4 linked regions of the Drosophila melanogaster genome follow. The protein of the gene in region 1 interacts with the protein of each later gene in a pairwise test. Each region holds a gene or a part of one and is shown in the gene's direction. Other genes may lie near its edges.

Region 1 (4,197 bases):
CGCATCGTTCCCGTGAGATTGGTGCGAATGGCGGTGCGCAGCGGGGAGCTGAACTTGATGGTGGCTGCACTGTGGTAGATCACATTGACCCGATCGATCAGCTCCTGCAGGAGCTCGGGGCCAAAGCCAAAGTTTGGTTCGCTCAGTTCGCCAACCACTGGGACCACCTTGGACAGAGTCTTCTCCGAGTATTTCTCGAAAATCTGTAATTAAATCATAATTTATATTTGCAATATTAAACAAACATTTTATTGAATATAATCTCATGCATCTTAAACTTTTGATAACTCTAACTAAAAGGATATGGTCATTAATTGGTAGCATTAAAAGCTTCGAGCTATAAGTGATTTTATGACTTGCAGAAGCGGCGAATAAGAGTTTTATATATTGTACATATGTATTCGATATTTTTAAACCAGTTGGAGACCTATTTTTTCTCCTCTAAAGACGGATGTTGAAAATTAATTTCACTACTGTTCGGAGGTTGGCTTGCTAACCATACACGCCCACATTATGGCCAACAAATTATGATTGTTAGCGATGAGTGCTTTTTTCGGTACTTTTACCTTTTTGGGCAACACTCGTAAGTAAGCAATTTTCAAAGCAAACAACATATGATGTTAGCTTCTTTTTGTTGTGCCATTAAAAATGCGTTTAAAAATAAAATAAATTAACGAGTTGTGAAGAGGGCCTAACAAAAGTTGGGGAAAAAACAAAAGACTTTTTGTTGGACCGAAAATTTAAGCACTCTCTAAATATAATTTATATGATTTCAAGGCATTATTTGTACAAACTTATTTTGATTGTAAAAAATGCTTTATGAAAAGATTGCTTGAGCTTAACAATTAAATAAGATAATAATTAGGTTATTTCAAAATTTGTAATTATAGTAAATAACAATTTAAATATTTTCAAAAATCCCAAAAGAGTATTGCACACTTGTGGTTAAAAAAAAAAATGAAAAGAAAAGAAAATGAAAGCCCCATGGAACGCGGCGGAAGAGGTCGGCCAGGTTACGACTTTGACAAATTAACGCTCCATAAAGAGACTCGTAATTGGCTTTAATTATATACCTTGCAGACGGCGCGTCGTGTCAGAGGGCGTGGCCGGTTGCCGCCCCCCTTCGACCGGTCAAAACAATCTAAAACAAATGCCACCAGACTTACCGGCTTTTGGAGCAGGCGACGAATCCGCTCGTTCGGATCAAACTTGCGCTTGCCCCGGACCAAAACGTAGATGGTTCCAATGTCGGGATGTGTGTCCAGCAGAGCCTCGATAAGAACGGTGCCCAGGAATCCAGTGCCGCCGGTGACAAAGATGTTCTTGTGGGCAAAGAACTCCGGTATGGTCAGCGAGGTGCTCAACTGATGGCCATTGACCCGGTGTTTTCCGTTTCCGATGCTATTGTTGTTTTCCGGGGGAGAGGAGGTGGTGCCGCCATGTTCCGTGATGACAGCCATGGTGTAGGGCTCAAGATTCGTCGGCGGCGCCAATTTGCTGCTGAGATTCGAAGACGGTGCGGCAAGCTGTGGCAAAGAAATAAGAAAAGGAAACGCGCCGTGACATCGGTTAGTTCAAGTTCATTAGTCCAACTGGATCGCTGCGATTATGAAACCAAAGCCGGCGATCGAAGAGCGAATCGAAAAAAAAAACCAGACAAACTTCTCAGTGTGTCAAGTTTAGCCAGCGGCGGAAGTGCATCATAAATCTGCTATCAAAATTCGATGGAAGTGGAGTGCGCGATGCGGAAGGCAGACAACCTCCAACGAAGATAAATGCTGCATATTTAAGCTTTCCACACTTTCCCATTTGGGTGTGAAACCTAATGGATAGTTACTTCAAAGGTTAACCGCTTATGTGGTCAGGAAACCTTTTAATGAATACATATTTTGTGCATTTTCAAAGATTGTTTCTAGTATTGGATTAACGTAATGTTAAACGCCAAGTAGGTCATGAGTACCACCTCTATTTTTTGAGTTCAACTGGGATAGCATTGCCTTTTACTTCCTGGGAAAAAATCATCAGCGTTCTCATAATATTCCCAGTTTGCGAAGCGTTCAGTTCACAAAATTTCGGTCTTTAATTTTTGGAGTTAAAAATTTGTAGCTAACAAAATTGAAAATTCAAAAATTCAGTTCGGAGTTTTATTTTCAGACAACACCCTCTCGTGCACGCATCAAAATTTTTAGTTCTGAAAAGGGAGTTCAATCCAAGACGAGTCAATAGCAAGATGAATACCACTTTTAAAATGGCTCGAACGAGCCTGAATCATTCTTGGCGGTTTGTTAGTAACAAAGCCAAGGGGCAATTTTCCAGTTTGCGACGATTACCAGCAGTTACCAGCCAAAATCGTCGCTACGCAGACCGATATACCTTCGACGACCAGACTCAAGCACAAATCCAGGGCATCAAGAAGATGAAAGAGATGTCCGCGGTGCCCCGGGAGTCTCCTTGGCGTGACAGCGAATGGTCTCCCGATTTTCCCGAGCGTTTGGATGAGTTGGGCTACGAGTCCCACTGCAACGATCGCCTCTATATAGCCAAGAACAAAATCCGTCACGAGCAACAAAAATATGAATTGGAACGTGAAGAGCGTCGCAAGCAGGCCCAACGAAGAATCAATAGTCACTTCGCTAAAGGTCAGGCAGAACCGGACTTATTGCGCCGGCGTACCATCTCACAGGATCCGGCCGATCACCAAAGGCGTCAGGAGGCGATTATCGAACAGAATCGCCGTCGATGGCAAAATCGTCCGGAATCTAGGAGGGAAACTAATACCTCCGGCATTACCTATCGTCCGGTTAAGCGAAAGGAAACGTATATTGAGGAGGATATGCAAAGGGAATCGGAGGACTACCAGCGCCAAAGACGCAATACAGAGAGCTCAGAGGAAGCTCAAGACAGCCAGACAGTGGTTTACGATTCCAATCGTCCCACTGCCGATTGGTTGAGGAAGCGCCAGGAGGAGAGCGAGGCGGAGCACTGGCATTCGTGGCACACATGCCCATGCTCCCGGGAGTCGGAGACCACAGAGGAGGTGAAGCCACATTTGAAGCGCAAGAAGGTGGTTGGCATTCCGCCTGCATATCCAAGGGATTACCAACGACGCGGCTACCATCAGATATCCCCACCTGTGTATGCACTGAAAGCCAAGACTATAGTGATGATACCAAAGCGGCGACCATCTGGCATCGATAAGCAGTACCACAAGTTTGCCATGAAACAGGTGGCTCTATGGCAACAGGACTTCGACGCGATCCAGGACAACGGGCAACCACTTCAGATGCCAGGGCTGGTGCCCAAGAAGGAGGAAGAGAAGAAGCCCAAGAGGAAGGAGGAGCGTCGATCCGTGGAACCGCCCCGTTTCCGAATGGTCGTCAAGAGCCGTGCTCCCGCTAGCCGTCCCTCTACTCCCGTATTCAATTACTCCGGCCAGATGGATATGCCGCCCGCCATCGCCGGACCCAGTGCCTACATGGGATCTCATCGCAAATCTAATGGCGAATCCTGGCGCAACTTCTTAAGGGCCAGCAGCTCATAAATGGAGCTCATTTTACTATAGCGTTGTGAATTGCCTTTTTATCCAGAGTTAATATTTGAAAATGAATACTTGCTGAGCTCCTGGCAGAGTTCTGGGATATTATAGTAAAATTTAATATAATTGACGTTGAACGAATTCTATTAACGAATCAGTGAATCATAGTTGGGGGTTGTAGTAAGAAAATTCCACTCGGGAATCTACAAAAAACCGACATATTTCAACAGTCAGCAAACCAATCGATGTAGTAAGTGTTATGGACAAAATGTAGCAAATGAGCAACGTGCTTTTTATAAGTCAAGTAATTAATTCCGACTAGTAATGGCAATTAAAGTTGACGCGTGTAACTGCTGCTTTTGACGTGATAAAGTAGGGGTTCCCATATTTATGGAATAGTTTAGATAACTTCTATTACTCGTAATAGAATGTACCTTTACTTATCCCAGCACTACATTCCAACACTAAACTGAAACGTTGACTAGCACTGGGAACAAAACCAACTACAAAATTCGAGAGCTAATTAACCCTTTCAACTTTCCCACACTTAAGGCCCATTAACCTTTTACTTTAATCACCAAGTGGATTAGAGTGGCTAAGCTTACGTTAATTAATACCCCCAAACTTTCAACTTGTCACACTGCCACAATCGGACCCATGGC
Region 2 (3,794 bases), on another chromosome or scaffold:
TTTGGGTTAAGTTCATTAGAGGGGCTGATGCAATTTTGCAGTTATAACTATGACTTCATACTTTGCTTTTTAGCAAGTCCAGAGATCAGCTGGGAATATATATTGTACATATATACTAAATTATTTTAGAATCAAGTTCACTGACCCCAAACGGTTATTTCGGAAGTTTAGGAACAAATGTAAATTTTGTTTTAACTTCATTTTATAGTGTAACATAAAAAATCATCGCCCAAAACCGGCTGGGGTTAAGGGCCGCTTAGAACTTTCAGATTCCAAAAACCATAGATTATTCAGCCTACTTATTAGAAGTTGTTGACTGCGTCCCAAAAAAATCTAGATATTAGAATGCTTTCGGCTGGTAAGTCAATTAGTCCGTCGTCTAATAGGCTTTGCGGCTTAATGGAACGCTTTTTGCCTCATTGTGTTACCCCTTTTCTTTGCGTATACGTAATATGAGTGCTGGAAATATCCGGCATACCCCGATGCTACCCCCTCTTTCGACCAACAAACTGACCATGAATATTTTCGCTTTTGTTTGCCGACCATATAAACACGTTTTCGATTGTTTCGCCGTTTTCTTTTCTTTCCATTTATTGCCTTTTTAACTGGGTTGGATTTTGCATTCCCCGATTTTCTGCTTAATTTTCACGCCAAATGAAAAGCGTGAGAACCGCGAACATACATAATATTCATTAGCGAATTATAGATTGGGTTTGGTTTTCAGTTCTAAATTTTCAGACTTCGCAAATTAAATGCGAATAAATAAATATTTAAGCAATCAATCCAGATGCCACTTGCATATTAATTGTATTGTTTTTCGTTGTATTTTGTTTGCCATCTGAGAGAGAAAGAGAGATTTCCAAGTGGCCTACAATCGCGATGATAATGATACTGAAAATGATGATCGTGATAATGATGTCGCAGAGCAACTTTCTCAGTTTATTTTTTTTCCCCCTATTAGCATCACAATTAAATGTTTTTTATTAATTTCGTAGCGCGAAACTGAAAATTAGTATTGGCGATATGCGCCGATATTATATAAGTGAGAATATCGATTAGGTATGAATGAACACGGTAATTTCCCCGATAATTTCGATAGCTGCGAACAGATCAGGTCGCTTTCATTATTCAATTTGTATTAACTTTCGTTCGTTGTTGTCGTCTGGCTGGCGGCTAGAAAAATGTATGCATCGCATTTCAATAATAATGAAAACAAAAGTTAAAACAAATAAAACAACCGCTAGTTTCGGTGCGATGGAGAAAGGGCGAGGAGGGGGGCTAGTGTGGATAGAGCGGGATAGTGAGATTCCGTCGAACGGTGATTGCAAGAAAATGACATTTTACAGTTGCCCCCAAACACCCTACACTCACCTGCGTTTTGGAGCATCTCGGTTTTATGACACCGTTGGCAGCGCTCCATCGAAAAACCTAGAACTACAAAGTATTACTCATACATTCGCGAATTAATAATCCTTTTTATATCATACATTATGATATCCTTATTATATAAGGCATTATTGTTAATAATTATATAAAAATATGGAATATTATGATCACTCTTTTCTTTAGGATATCAGTACTAGGGTCCAGTGCAGAGACGTCAGAAACTGATAAAAATTCGAAGATATTTATTAATTTTTTTTAGAAAGAAACGCATGATGCAGAGTGGGAGATTCCACGCTGCGTAACAGAATGGAAACTTTATATTAATTTTATCAATTTACAAGAACTCATGCAGATAGCTTGTATGCAAGTTCTTTAAAGATTAACAAATTAATCGGAGAATAAAAATATTAGTAACATAATGAATAAGGTAATAATGGCAAAAAGAAATCCATTATTAATTTGCTAAAAGAAAGGTATACACGCACAAAGGGCATTTGAAGGTCGGCGCAGGGCAAGGTGTCATCCATTTCACCCGAGGGCTCCGTAGGTCAAGATGCTTGTCGTCGCCAGCATTGGCTGTTGTATATAAATTTTGACAAAAGAAAGACTTCGGTTTAAACCAATTTTGGCAAGGCGGCGACCATAAGGTGATGACCACTCGACGCGACGACATGGCATGGATTAGCGGCCGTTCCCACCTGCTGGTGCCTGTGATCTTGGTGCTGTTAATACCGTTGGTCGCGGGCTTCGGCAACGAGTATGTCCACATCAAGGTGCATGTGCCCAAAGAGGAGTCAGCGGCGGAGGAGTCGCCACACAAGGTGATCCACCACTACCACCACCATCCGCATCCGCATCAGTTATACCGCAATCGGGGACGAGCCCGTCCCAAGCCCAGTCCACTGCTGGAGAGCGTAATCCTCTCGGATCTGGACAAGCCGCTGCACATGAGCGAGCATGCGGACTATCTGAATCACGCCAAGGAGCTGGCCGACCACCTCACGGAGACGTATGCCAAAAAGGCAGCTCCTCCGCCGCCGCCGCCGCCCAAGAAGAAGGTCAACACTTATACGATCATTGAGGAGCAGCACAGACCACATGGCTACGACTACGAGGATCACCATGAGCCCAGTGTGGAGACTTATCGAGTGATTGAATCGCGACCCAAGCAGCAGCACCATCATCACACTCATACTCACCATCCGGTTGAGGAGGAGGAGGTGGACGACGATTATGGATATCACTATCCGAGCGGGGGAAATCATCATCATCATCATCATCATCAGACTGGCGCCTATGCGGAACCCGCACCAGTGGAGGAGCACATCGACCAGGAGCCGGATACGGGCTATAAGTATTCGCCACACAGTCACGCCTACATCCCGCCCAGCCACGGTCAGGCCCAGCGGAGCTCCAAGCAAACCAGAGCGCCAGCGTACACTCTCGAAGCTCCGCAGGAATCCTCCTTCGGATACGATTACTCGCGACCCTCGGCCGGAAGTAGCACTGACTTCCGGCCATCCGTCCAGGTGCCATCCAGTGACCCGTACGGCGAGGAGGAACCGGCGGACACCTATGGACCACCGCTTACGGCCACAAGGCGTCGCCGGCCATCGCAATCCCTGGTGGATTGGCCCGAGTCCAAGGGATTCAACAGTGCCGCGTCCGAAACATACAGTGGCGTCGATAGCTACAACGTGGGTCATGTTCAGGGCTATGGATCCAGTAGCTATCACCAGTACAGTGGTGGGCCCTATCTGTAGGCGTTCCAACACCCCGTCTAATCTAAGATCTATTTATTGCACTTTTTTTTTCCTAGCTTCGTAAGTCGATAGTCAGTTTTCAGATTTAAGCGATAAATAAATAAATGTTTGTAAACACTTAAAGAAATGTTATTCAATTTCTAGGAATCAAGTTGTTAGAAGTAATAAACAAAAGGTTAACTTATTTGTTTATTTATTTATTTGTTTCAACTCAATCCTAGCAGTTGGAAAGCACCAAGACCACTTGAAAATTATAATGTAATAAAAACGCAAATTTGAATAGTTGAAGTAATAAAAAAAAGAGACTGTCTAATTAGTATGCATATTATGATCTTGAATTCTCAAATTAGTTTATTTAAACACTAAAATCTAATATTCTAATGGTGCAAGAGTAAAATGCACTCATTTTTGTTATTGACTTCAACTTTGGATACCAACCGGTTCACTTGGCAATGGGAATTTAAGTATACTACTTAGTGCAATTATCCTAAGTCTTGATTCTATCTATAAAACGTATAATATATTTACATTCTGATTATTTATTATTATTTCAAATACGGAAATCGTGTTTGGTACATTCATACATGGACTACTGTTCTCAGTGTTTTTGAGGAAGTCAGTTAGGCTAATGGATTTCTCAGTTGT
Region 3 (5,804 bases), on another chromosome or scaffold:
TAGAATTACATGACATAGACATGAATTTACAGATCAATTGTGTCTGGTTGACACTTTTGATAACTCTCAATTCAGAAGCGGATCGTTAAAGTCACGCAATATTACTATACTCAAAGTTGTTGCAGAAAGTGTTGCGGACAGTGCGGTACGTGTATTTCCATTTTCAACAATTCCCATTTTCAACTGTAATGAGGGTCGCTTTTTTCTGTTATTACGTGAAGTAGTAGTCATTAAAAGGCAAGAATGTCACAATTTGCTCCAATAAAAGTTATTGGCCAATAAACGAATAAAATAGTTACCCCAGACCCTAAGCATGATTGTTTTAAAGCTCTTTATTTATGATGAAGGACTTTCTTAAGTTAGGAATGATTCATAGGCAACATACAAAATACATGATATGATAATACGAGTAGAATAAGATATAAAGTAAGTTGTATGTAGATTTAATTGATCGAAATTATGCGCGCACGTCATGACATAAGTAATTTTCATTTCCGTTTTTTGAAAAATAGTCATCAAGACGTTTTTAATGATTTCTGTAAAGATTAAAACAACCATAGAGATGCATTTTTGCGATATAAAACTTATACTTAAGTTTTATTCAAGAACACTTTCACTTTTTCGCCAATCAATAATAAGCTATTTAAGTAATGTGTTAATGGAACTTAAAGAAATTCCTAGTAATTACTATCTTTAATTGAAAGTAAGATTTGTTGTTGGTAACAGGGTCAACTGCTGACCATTTCATACGATCCCACAGTGGGCCGATATCAAAATCAAGGCCCAAGGGTAGCAGACTCTCTCATAAGGAATGGTATTCGTATTTGTATTTGTTGCTCTGCTTCCAGATAAGATTGAAAAAGTGCCTATGAGCACCAAGAGATAAGGCACACTTTTGCTTTTGCGATAACGCACCATCGCAATTTCAGGCAATCAATTAATGAGCCAGCTGATATCGCCGATTCCCATTCCCTTTGGGCCAGCCAACGTCAGTTAGTTGGAGTTGGAATTCGATTCACAGCGGGTCGAGAGTTGTAGATCGGGTCGAGAAAAAAGAGCAAATAAATAAATAAAGAGCACAGTGGGCAGCACACAAGGTAACCAATCCATCGGTTCTTCTAAGCCCGTAAATCAACATACCAACGATATGTCTCAGACATCTGTATCTTAGGATCTGATGTCATGCCAGTGAAAGCAATAAATAAATCTCGAAACACGGCGGTAAATAATTGACCCACAATCACGGCCTAAAAATACGCGATTAACTCTTATATTCGAGTCCTTATGTAATAAGCTGCCATTAACGATTGCTTCATGAGCGAAGAATTTCCTGGCTTGTGATAACTGCAAAACAGAAATAAAGTAACGCCAGCAAACTGAAAAAGCAAAGCAATCGCAAACACAGTGCCAATTGCGTTTATCTAATCGGACAGGTAGCTACCACACAGGTGAAATAGGTACTCTCCTATGTACATATGTACACCTATGTACTTCTAAATGCAAAGGTATCTAATGGTAGCCATCTATCTGATTCGCATTGCCCATTGGGAATCAATAGTTTACCAGAACGCTTTGATTACACACCGCCGCAATGGTCAAAGCAGGCAATAGGACCCTGAAATACTTCCGACCCATTTCGGTCAAGTATGGGTAAATATCAAATATCAAGCGTGATAGACAGGAGGCTATCTCATAGATTGAAGCATTGCCAACACCTGTCTATCATATACCCGTATACTTAAAGTGCCACTTTGGAAATTTTCGGTGTTTTACTGTTTATGTTAGCATAACATTCAAACAAAGAGATCTTTTCGTCCTTGATCTGCATTTATAGTGTAAAAGATGCAGAACAAGATAGAAAATTCTTTACTATTGAACTATTAAAGTTTAACCTATTTTCCTTGTATTAAAAAGTGTAAGAGCAACTATTACTCATCGTCAATTACCTCTATGTCATGCATTAGTTGCAATGTAGTGTTATCAACAAAACAAAAAGAAGGGCAAAGAATTGCGCAGTTCATATTCTACAATATGTGCGCCTGAATGCCAAACTTTACATGGAAACAACCAATAAGTGATAAAAAAAAAAAAAACTATAGTTATTTGGAATGCCCATTTCCCTATTTCTCAGGATGCCACAAAACGGCTACGAAAATGGAGTCCCTGGCGGGAATCAGGCAAATGGGCACTACGACGAGGTCAAGCCCACCTATGCCCTGGAGCACTTGGCCACCTTTAAGCTGAAGAACGAGGCTGAGGTCAAGCAGCCGAAGGAGAAGATGAAGCTTCTGGTCGAATTGGAAAAGACCGGGGGCATTTGGCCGCACAAGATGTTCATGAGCTTCAATGGGCAGTGGCTGGTGATGCTGGACAGTGATATGAAGGAGATTGAGAACTTTCCGGGGAGCCTGATCACGGAGCCCACGGCTTTTATAAGCGATCATCCGCAGGAGTCATTCAACAATATCCTCATTTTCTCAGTGCCCGGAATCTCACTGGGCAATACCGAAATGCACATCTTCCAGGTGAGCAGCCACGATTTTTCAGCACTTTGAGATCTGTAATAATTAGATCATTAATAGGTGGCCGATGTCAGTTCCGTGCTCTTGGTTGAGGATCTAAAGACGGTGAGTTGAGTTGAATAAATAGATCCCCGATCTATATAATCCCAATACCACGATTTCTCAGCTAAGCAAGGGAACCCCTGTGACAGTGGATCGCAACAAGACGCCCATCCTGCTGCCCAAGCCGGAGAGGCCGCAGAACCAGCAGGCCAAGGATCAGTATGGAATAGCAGCTGCTGTGGCCGGAATAGCAGCCGAGAAGAATGCCATAGACAAGGAGCAGACCGAGAGGGATGTCCAGGTGATAAACCACTGCTTCGAGGACATCGAGCGGTTCATGGCCCGTCTTCATTATGCCGCCGAGGCGCTTAACGAGCTAAAGTTGCGCAAGGAACAGCATAATCCCCACGGTGAGGGACTTTTGGTCCTGAGATCGCGACCACCAATCGAGAGCGAGTTCCATGACATTTTGGCCAAGGCGAAACTGGCCCTTATATACTCCGTTCGGCTGCAGAACCAATTCACCAAGCCCGCCGATCCGGTGCACAATGTCTTCATATCGCTTAAATCCATCGTCACGGTTTGCAACGATATCTACGTGGATGCGGGTCTGCCGCAGGCGGTACTTAATCCCCTCCTGCGCCGTGAGACCATTGCCTTCCTCAATGGCACCCTCGACTCCAACGAGATGCAGCTGTGGCAGAGCCTCGGTCCCAACTGGACGGTTCCCAAGGATCAGTTCAAGGATCACAAGAGCTCTTATCATCCGATCTTCTACGACGATTGGTCTCCCGATTGGGTGGTCGATGAGGAGGTGCCGTACCTGGCTCCTGCTCTAAAAAAGAGCACAACGCCTTCGCCAGTGCCGGTTCCCATGCCCCCGAGTCCAGGTCTAGGAAATCGCACCTGGCTGAGTAGATTGGAGAGCCGAAATGTCAAGATCGCCGAGGTTACCTTCAATAAGTCGGCCACCAACGATAAGGAACTAAAGGTTACAAAGGGAGAGTATTTGGAGGTAAGTACCTAATAATAATCGAAAGGGGTTTTAATGTCAGTTCTTATCATTCAGATCTTTTAGCCAAATTTATCCCAATTTCAAGTTCCTTTAATTAAGATTTGCACAACATTTAAAACGACTTGCTTTTTTAATCGTTCGCTGACGTATGAATGTATGTAAGAGGCAATTATTTTGGGTTACAATACAGTTTTGTAAATATATAGGAATGTCCACGTGTGAGAACTGAATGATTTGAAATCTTATAAGGCACAGGTCTTTTACTTTTATATTAATCTTTTGTTTTGGAATGTTACTGATATAAAAAAGCTTTAGATAAGTATTGGTTGTGAAGATATGAAAATTCATTGCCGGTAATATATATGATTCAATAATTTTAAATTCAGGCATTTGAGATGTCTTACCAATGAGAGGTCAGTAACACTATATCAATACAAAAACTTTGAATGCAATTACTAAACATTGATTATATTTTTAACTTTATACCATGTTTACTATACATGGTACCAATCTTATCGATTCCCCAATTACGCGATCTTACCTTCATATCACCATGATAACAGACCTTATAATAACTATCATATAAATCGTCTGATTCCAAGATTATCGATGACTCCCGCAACTGGTGGAAGGCCCGTAACTCGTACGGAAACATTGGCTACGTGCCGCACACAGTGCTCACGCCGTACAACTTTGAGCCCGGAGTAAATGGCCGGGACACGGAGTCGCTGGCCTCAATGGCTTTGACGGAGAACGGCGGCGAGGAGGCCATTCCTCCTCCGCTGTACCGCAACACAATGGCCATGTATACCGCTCCCGTGGAGCAGCCGGCGGCCAATGGCAAGGCCATGCAGCGCACCTTCTCGATGCCCAACGTGCCCGTTCCACCACCGATGCCTCCACCGAGCGATAGCCAAACGCCCACGCCCAGTGGCACACTCAAACGCAACATGGCGGCGGCAGGAGCACTAGCAGGTGGGTACACTAGTAAATTAAAAAAAATAATACAATATAATAATGATATTTGTATTTATCTCATTCGCTTACCAGCCATGCGGGCCCGCAATGATTGCGAGGCAGATGATCAGCTCTACTACATGCAGGGCGACGTGCATGATGAACTGCGTCTACTGCAGCAGCAGCGAGAGAGGCGCAAGGACCTCGAGATCCTTAAGACGCCGGAAATCTTCATCACCCAGAATTCAAAGCCAAGCGAGGTGGAGGAGTGGCTGCGGGGCAAGGGATTCTCGGACATCATTATCAAACGATTGCACACGCTATCCGGCGAGGAGATCTTCGCCCTATCACCGCACACCATCGAAAGTTACTTTGGCCGGCGGGAGAGTCGCCGCCTCATTTCCCAGATCGTGCTGCAAAAGAATTTCTGCGAGGTGAGTTCTTGGACATATCCTCACCTTATCTAATCTAATCGAATCCATTCCAATATCCAATTTTGCAGTACAAAACCATTCGATCATCGGAGCTTTCTGCCAAACTGGCACGTGCTCGCCAAAAGGCCGATCAGTCCAATGGCAATCCCAACGAGGTCTTCTAAGACTCCCAGTATCCCGAGTTTTTTAGCCGGAGACCAGAGAGACAAAAATGCTTCAGATGCCATTAATTTATTTATGTGTAATAATCCTTCATTTATGTTAAACAGTGTTCATACGTATATTAAAAAAAAAAAAAGACAAAAATGGGTTTGATTTATATGCATTTAGTGTTAACATCTCGAATTGATTATAAATGTAATATAGATACTTTATTTAAACACAAATATTTATGAAGTGAAGAAATCATATGATTTCCTGTTTAGAAACTTAACTTCCCTAAACTCAAAAGTGGTATGGCATGATTAATTAGGCAAGAATATGTTTATCATTACAGGAAACTTTGAGAACTGGTTATGGAACAGTCCTAATGAAACGCTTATTGGTTAACCCAGATACCTTATATGTCGAACTCCAGTTCGAATTGCAGACTTCAATCAAAAGACTTACGAAATAGCCGAAATGAATTGGTTTTTTCAATAAACACGATGTTCAATGTTATGAAGAAGTAATAGACGTCGATTAAGAGTAATAAGTGATAATCTTCATAAATTCTGCTTCGTGAGTGCATCCTAAAAGTCAAGTAAGTGGGCGTTTCAAACCGGTAGGGGCGTGGCGTGTTATTTACCTTTTTTGTGAACACATTGCGGGGGAAATAAGTATTTGAAAATGTAA
Region 4 (5,187 bases), on another chromosome or scaffold:
TTCAGAGGCTGTAATATTCACTCGTAAATATTTTTATAGGCACTAAGACTTCCGCATCGGATGAACAAAGCGCGAAGAGTCCACACGGCCAGGTGCTCTGCGGAATTAAATAAATATTTGCCACGAACGGGCAACCTTTCTAGCGTTATTTGGGAAATTGTGGAAAAATCACGAGCCACATAACTCCTGCAACGCTTTCGCCATGAAACATTTTATTAATTAAGTCCGTGTCCTTGATTTTTATTTGCCGTTTGGTATACCCACTTTGTGTCAACACAAACCTCTGTCATCATCAGGATGCTCTTTAAATGTCGCAAATTCTAACAATGCAAGTTGACCGTGTCCTTCAAAGGATTTCAATTGCAGACCAGATTTTCAAAGACTTAAGACAGCTAAATTGTAACTCAACTTCACCTCCTGTCAGCCAATTCCTTTTTACCAATCCCTTGTTAATAATTATGTTAGCTAACATCAACATTCTAAACTAAAAACCAAACCAATATGACCGATTGACTGCTTATTTTTCCGTTCCCAATTTGTTCACTACATTTCCAATTTGCCAAAATCAACAGGGTTAAATCCAATCCGGCGGTAGCAGCCACAAACAACCCACCTTTGCGAAGAAATTTCGACTCCTGCTGCTAATCCTTTCGTGCGTGCGCGTGTGAGTAAACCATTTAGCGCCAATTAAAACATAATTGCGGCATTCGCGGATTGCGATCGGGCACTAAATCATTCTCGGGCCTATACGAGTTTCATTTTGGCAGGACGAGAATAGCGGCACACACACACACATACACACACACACACGTCCATCGAGGCACCGCAACAAATGGCAAAAAGCGCGGGCGGAAAAGCGAAAACACTTGGGCGCCATTCACGGTTTAATGGCATCAATTCAATCCGAGGCTGAGCTCACTTTAATCTTGTGGCACTGCTGGCGTTGATTAAAAACACAAGGAAGCCGAAGTCGCCGCTTCTGGCCAACATTTCACTTTTATGAACGTAATTCCGACGGCTGATTTAGGCCGGAAGTCTGGAGCACGGAAACCACCCGCTATGTCAACCACACTTCGCCGGCTAAGAGCACTAACTGCCATTCCTGCGAGCTTCAACTTCTTTTGGGGACTTCATCCCCGGAGTGTCGGCTTTCGATCAGCTGATTGGGGGTAGAAGCACCGGAAGTGCCGGAAACGGGGATGAAAAGTATTCGAAATTGGCGGGCATTCAAAACTGTCGAACATAGTTACTTCCTGTATAAATACAAAATACTCAATAAATTCAAAATACTCAATAAATGCAAAATACTCAATGCAAAACAGTTACAGTTTACATTATATAGAAATATAGAAAAAAAAATGATTGATAGTGCCAACTACCTACTACTGCCACTGCCAAACCTGCCAATCTTTTCTTGTCGTATATTATTTTGAATGATTATCAACAGATTAAATCACAATTAATAATTCACAATTAAATCGTGAAATTTAGTTTACTGGCTCTACGATTTAAGGATTCGTCACGATAGTTTCGCAGTCTCAACCAATTCCATCTCTAAAATTTGTATTGATGAAATTCCAGAGTTGCAGATATATTTTGGCATGCCCCGAACGGTCACACTGCGCGTCGCACACTTTTAATTGTTTCGCTTCGCCTTTCGTTGTTTGTCGTATTCTCCGAATTAATCAAAATGCCAGCGGTTGTGCGAATCAAGCGACGCATCGACGAGGAGCCTCAGACGGCATTTGTGCTAAACGGCAAGCGGCGGCGCCTCCACAACGATGAGAACGCCCTGGAGGACGCGGGAGCGGTGGCGGGAGCGGTGGCGGGAGCGGTGGCATCAGACAAAGACGAACTGACCACCGTGCTCAAGTTTGCCGGCACGCTGGAAAAGCAGGTGGGATTGGGGGCTTAGAGAAGCAAACGTAGATATAATTCACATGCCCTTGGTGGCCACTACTTTCTATATATTGCTGTGGCTCGAATGCACGCTGTTGGTTCTTTTAGTGCTGCTTATAAAAAGGTCAACGTCCTCATCTTTGAGATGCAAAACGATATGGGCTAGCAAACTCTGCAAAAATGCACTCATTGAACTGATTTGTTTTTTCTTTAATGATTCTTACAAATAGCTAATCTAAGGTAACACATATATGTGTGCAATTTTAATAATACTTATCAGTTAGTAGTGATCTTTAACCTTAGTTAAAGGTGCTGGCCTGTTATCTGTAAAGTGAATGCACATTTATCATAGCAAATTCCCATTTTACAGCCGCAATAAATAGTGGGAACTTAATAAAAGATAGCTCTAGTTTGGTTATTGGTAATTTTGACTAATGATCCAAAGATCTAATGAATCTAAAATTGATTTATTAATTTGTATGCCTCTTTCGCAGGACGACTGTGCCACTCGTAAATTCGCCGCTGCCAGGCTCAACAAGGCCGCAGCCCGTGATCTGGTGCAACAGCAGCGCTCCAATGATGCAGCCATTGCTAGTGCGCTGCGCAGAGATCGCCAGCGGCAGGAGGCTCAGGAGAACTCAAGGGAGCAGCGTTTCCGGGTCGTAAACTGCCTGCGCAGCACGCTCGAAAACAGTGCCGCAGAAGCGGAATGCCCGGAGAGCCAGAGTCATGAGTCCAGCAGCCACATAACCATCGTGGACATTGAATCGCAACAGCAACAGCACATGGGCACTGCAAGTGCAGCAGCTGAGGAGCAGCAGCAGCAGGAGATAGCACCCAGCCAGGATCAGCAGCAGCCGGCCGATTCGGACGTGGGCTATGTCTACGATCTATATGTTCCCGAGAACGAGATGCAGGCGGCATATGTGGACATGATGGACGACAACTACTTAAGGTTTGTCATTCAAGTTGAGCCACAGAAAACGTTGAGCATTACCAATTACTATATGTAATCGATCACCACTACACTTATGTACTATATGGAATATATATATCTAAGCGGTGTGTCTGTGTGTCGGTGCTATGGGCGTATCTGTGTGGGTGTGGGTGTGCGTGTGTCTGTGTTCGTTGTCCTCGGGCGCAGTCTCATACTTGCATATTATCCTTATCATCTAGACACGATTGCAATCACTACAGCTCAATAATACGATTCGTTCGTTCTCCATAAGGTTGTATTATCCGTTTAATTACTACAACAACTGCTACTGGTAAACAAGAAATAAACTAAATGGAGAGAGACAGACAAAGTCGCAGGCACTTAGGAAGTGTGAGGACAGGAGACACCCAATGCCCCACCCACGACAATAAAAAAAAGGACTGCAACTGGCAACTCACATCACTTACAGTTCATTGCAGTCAGCACATTTGACAAATGCCCAAAACTAACGATAAAACATTGTTTTTATGAGTAAACACGGCATGATCTGAAAACGAATGATTCTGGAAGCTATTTATTTGATTTGTTACTGTGAGATTTCGTTCAATTCTAACACAACTATGTTATGCCATATTCCATTTAAAAAATATGTTAGATCTAAACTTCTTAGTTTAAATAATGTATCATAGTTATGTAAAGTTCCCATAAAGTTCCCTCTTGCCAAAGTTTTTAATAAAAATAAGATGTATCCTGCTAAAAACGCACAATTAGTGTACTATTTGGAATCGTTTTAGGCAAATGTCTCTCATTACCTTATGTTCATAGAATTAATTAGCTATTAGATTAGAATAATTTACCCCCACACACGAACACACACACACCGCATTTTTTTGAAAAACAGCTCACCGAGCATTTTTCGTTTAGTTTCCGCCAGTTGTCAGTTGCCTTTTTGGTTCTTTTTCCATTCCGACAATAAACAAAAAAAAACGGATAACACTAGTGCTGAAGTCTAATTAAGTGCATAGTCTTAGTTTGTTTTGCTTTATATCTGTTGGGGCCTAGCGTTGCCCGAAATCGAATATAAACTAAATAAAGAAACTCTCAAAATACGTGACAAACTTTGTTGTGTTTCAATTTAAAAATGCTGCGTGATCAAAGAATCGAAATAAACTCACTAATTGTTTCGCCTATTCTGCAGTGTGATTCCTGTGGGCGAGATTGTCCTAGAAGATTGCTACAACGACCAGGACGAGGACTACGACTCGGAGGACTCGAACCAGGAGAACTACTTTACCAATGATTACCCGGACGACGACGAAGCGGGCGCCATGGGTTCGGATGATGAGTTGTGCCGGCAAATGAACAAGTTTATGCTCGGTAAGATCTGTGTTAACTGTTTGCATAGATTCCGCTTATGAATATGCATATGCTTCTTCTTCCAGATGATGACGAGGATGAGTTTGCCAGCACCAGCGATGATGATGACTATGCCACCTTTCGCGATCCCTACGTGCACACGATCGACACTGAGGAAGACTCGTTTGTGGACGACGTGGACTTTTACAATGTCGACCGGGAGAGGGGCAGCGCCTATGAGCGCTACAAGCGAAGGATTCTGAAGGAACTGGAGGGTCAGGAAGAAGAGGATGAGGATGATGATGATGATGACGACTCCTTTGCGAGCGCTGATGGCGAATGAGAGGTTGGAAAGCCAATTCATTCTTGCACCTTAAATTACTGGCTTTAAAAAAGAATGTAGTAGTATAATTTAGCGTTTAATAACTAAAAAATTTAAGTTAATATAAAAATTCTGTTTGCATGCTTTGCTATGTTTAAGCTAACCTTATCTTATCATCTATAATTTTTGCTGTCTTTCTTCTCAGTCTTGATGTGCTGAAGTTGAGGTTTCGGCGCACAGCCCTCCATGTAAAGGCGAAGGGTTTCCTCGTCCATCTTCTCGTTTTCCTTGGGAGGCTTGTAGTCGGCCACGTGATCGACCCTTAGTGTCCTATCGAGGATCTTGATGCCATTCAGGTTGTCCACGGCCAGCACTGTGGATCTCTGGTCCTCGTAGCACAGGAAGCAGAAGCCCTGGACAAGTTTAAACAATGATTTCAGGAACTTTCTTGAAAGGGTAACTAAGCATTACCTTGGACTTTCCCGTTTTTGAATCTCGAATTAGATTGATGTTGACCACTTCGCCGTACTGCGAGAATACGCAAACCAAGTCGCCCTCAGTTAGGGTATACGGAAATCCTGCGACGAAAATCCAGGCTGAGTCCTTGTACATGTCGTGCCAGCTCTTCTTTCCGCCATGTTGCAGTTCGTGTTCGCTCAGTTTGAGCACATTT

What was found.
Region 2: the proteins of CG5089 (region 1) and CG15370 interact in a two-hybrid assay, tested with the Drosophila melanogaster proteins (one large-scale study listed by BioGRID).
Region 3: the proteins of CG5089 (region 1) and CG8907 interact in a two-hybrid assay, tested with the Drosophila melanogaster proteins (one large-scale study listed by BioGRID).
Region 4: the proteins of CG5089 (region 1) and fs(2)ltoPP43 interact in a two-hybrid assay, tested with the Drosophila melanogaster proteins (one large-scale study listed by BioGRID).

The regions. Positions count from the first base shown.
Region 1 is NT_033778.4:16,596,738-16,600,934, forward strand, and holds CG5089 (uncharacterized protein), read left to right. Parts: upstream 1-2,010; 5' UTR 2,011-2,230; coding exon 2,231-3,541; 3' UTR 3,542-3,674; downstream 3,675-4,197. Other genes in the region: CG8303 (uncharacterized protein), read right to left, coding at 1-203, 1,167-1,460.
Region 2 is NC_004354.4:9,223,420-9,227,213, forward strand, and holds CG15370 (uncharacterized protein), read left to right. Parts: upstream 1-2,017; 5' UTR 2,018-2,036; coding exon 2,037-3,149; 3' UTR 3,150-3,269; downstream 3,270-3,794.
Region 3 is NT_033777.3:17,007,279-17,013,082, forward strand, and holds CG8907 (uncharacterized protein), read left to right. Parts: upstream 1-1,551; 5' UTR 1,552-1,591; coding exon 1,592-1,650; intron 1,651-2,131; coding exon 2,132-2,525; intron 2,526-2,582; coding exon 2,583-2,627; intron 2,628-2,688; coding exon 2,689-3,579; intron 3,580-4,181; coding exon 4,182-4,554; intron 4,555-4,629; coding exon 4,630-4,970; intron 4,971-5,038; coding exon 5,039-5,134; 3' UTR 5,135-5,255; downstream 5,256-5,804.
Region 4 is NT_033779.5:19,792,250-19,797,436, reverse strand, and holds fs(2)ltoPP43 (female sterile (2) ltoPP43), read left to right. Parts: upstream 1-1,585; 5' UTR 1,586-1,690; coding exon 1,691-1,897; intron 1,898-2,393; coding exon 2,394-2,854; coding exon of another isoform or gene 2,855-2,912; exon of another isoform or gene 2,913-3,128; coding exon of another isoform or gene 3,129-3,171; exon of another isoform or gene 3,172-3,951; intron 3,952-4,034; coding exon 4,035-4,213; intron 4,214-4,278; coding exon 4,279-4,535; 3' UTR 4,536-4,664; downstream 4,665-5,187. Other genes in the region: CG10466 (uncharacterized protein), read right to left, coding at 4,688-4,927, 4,986-5,187.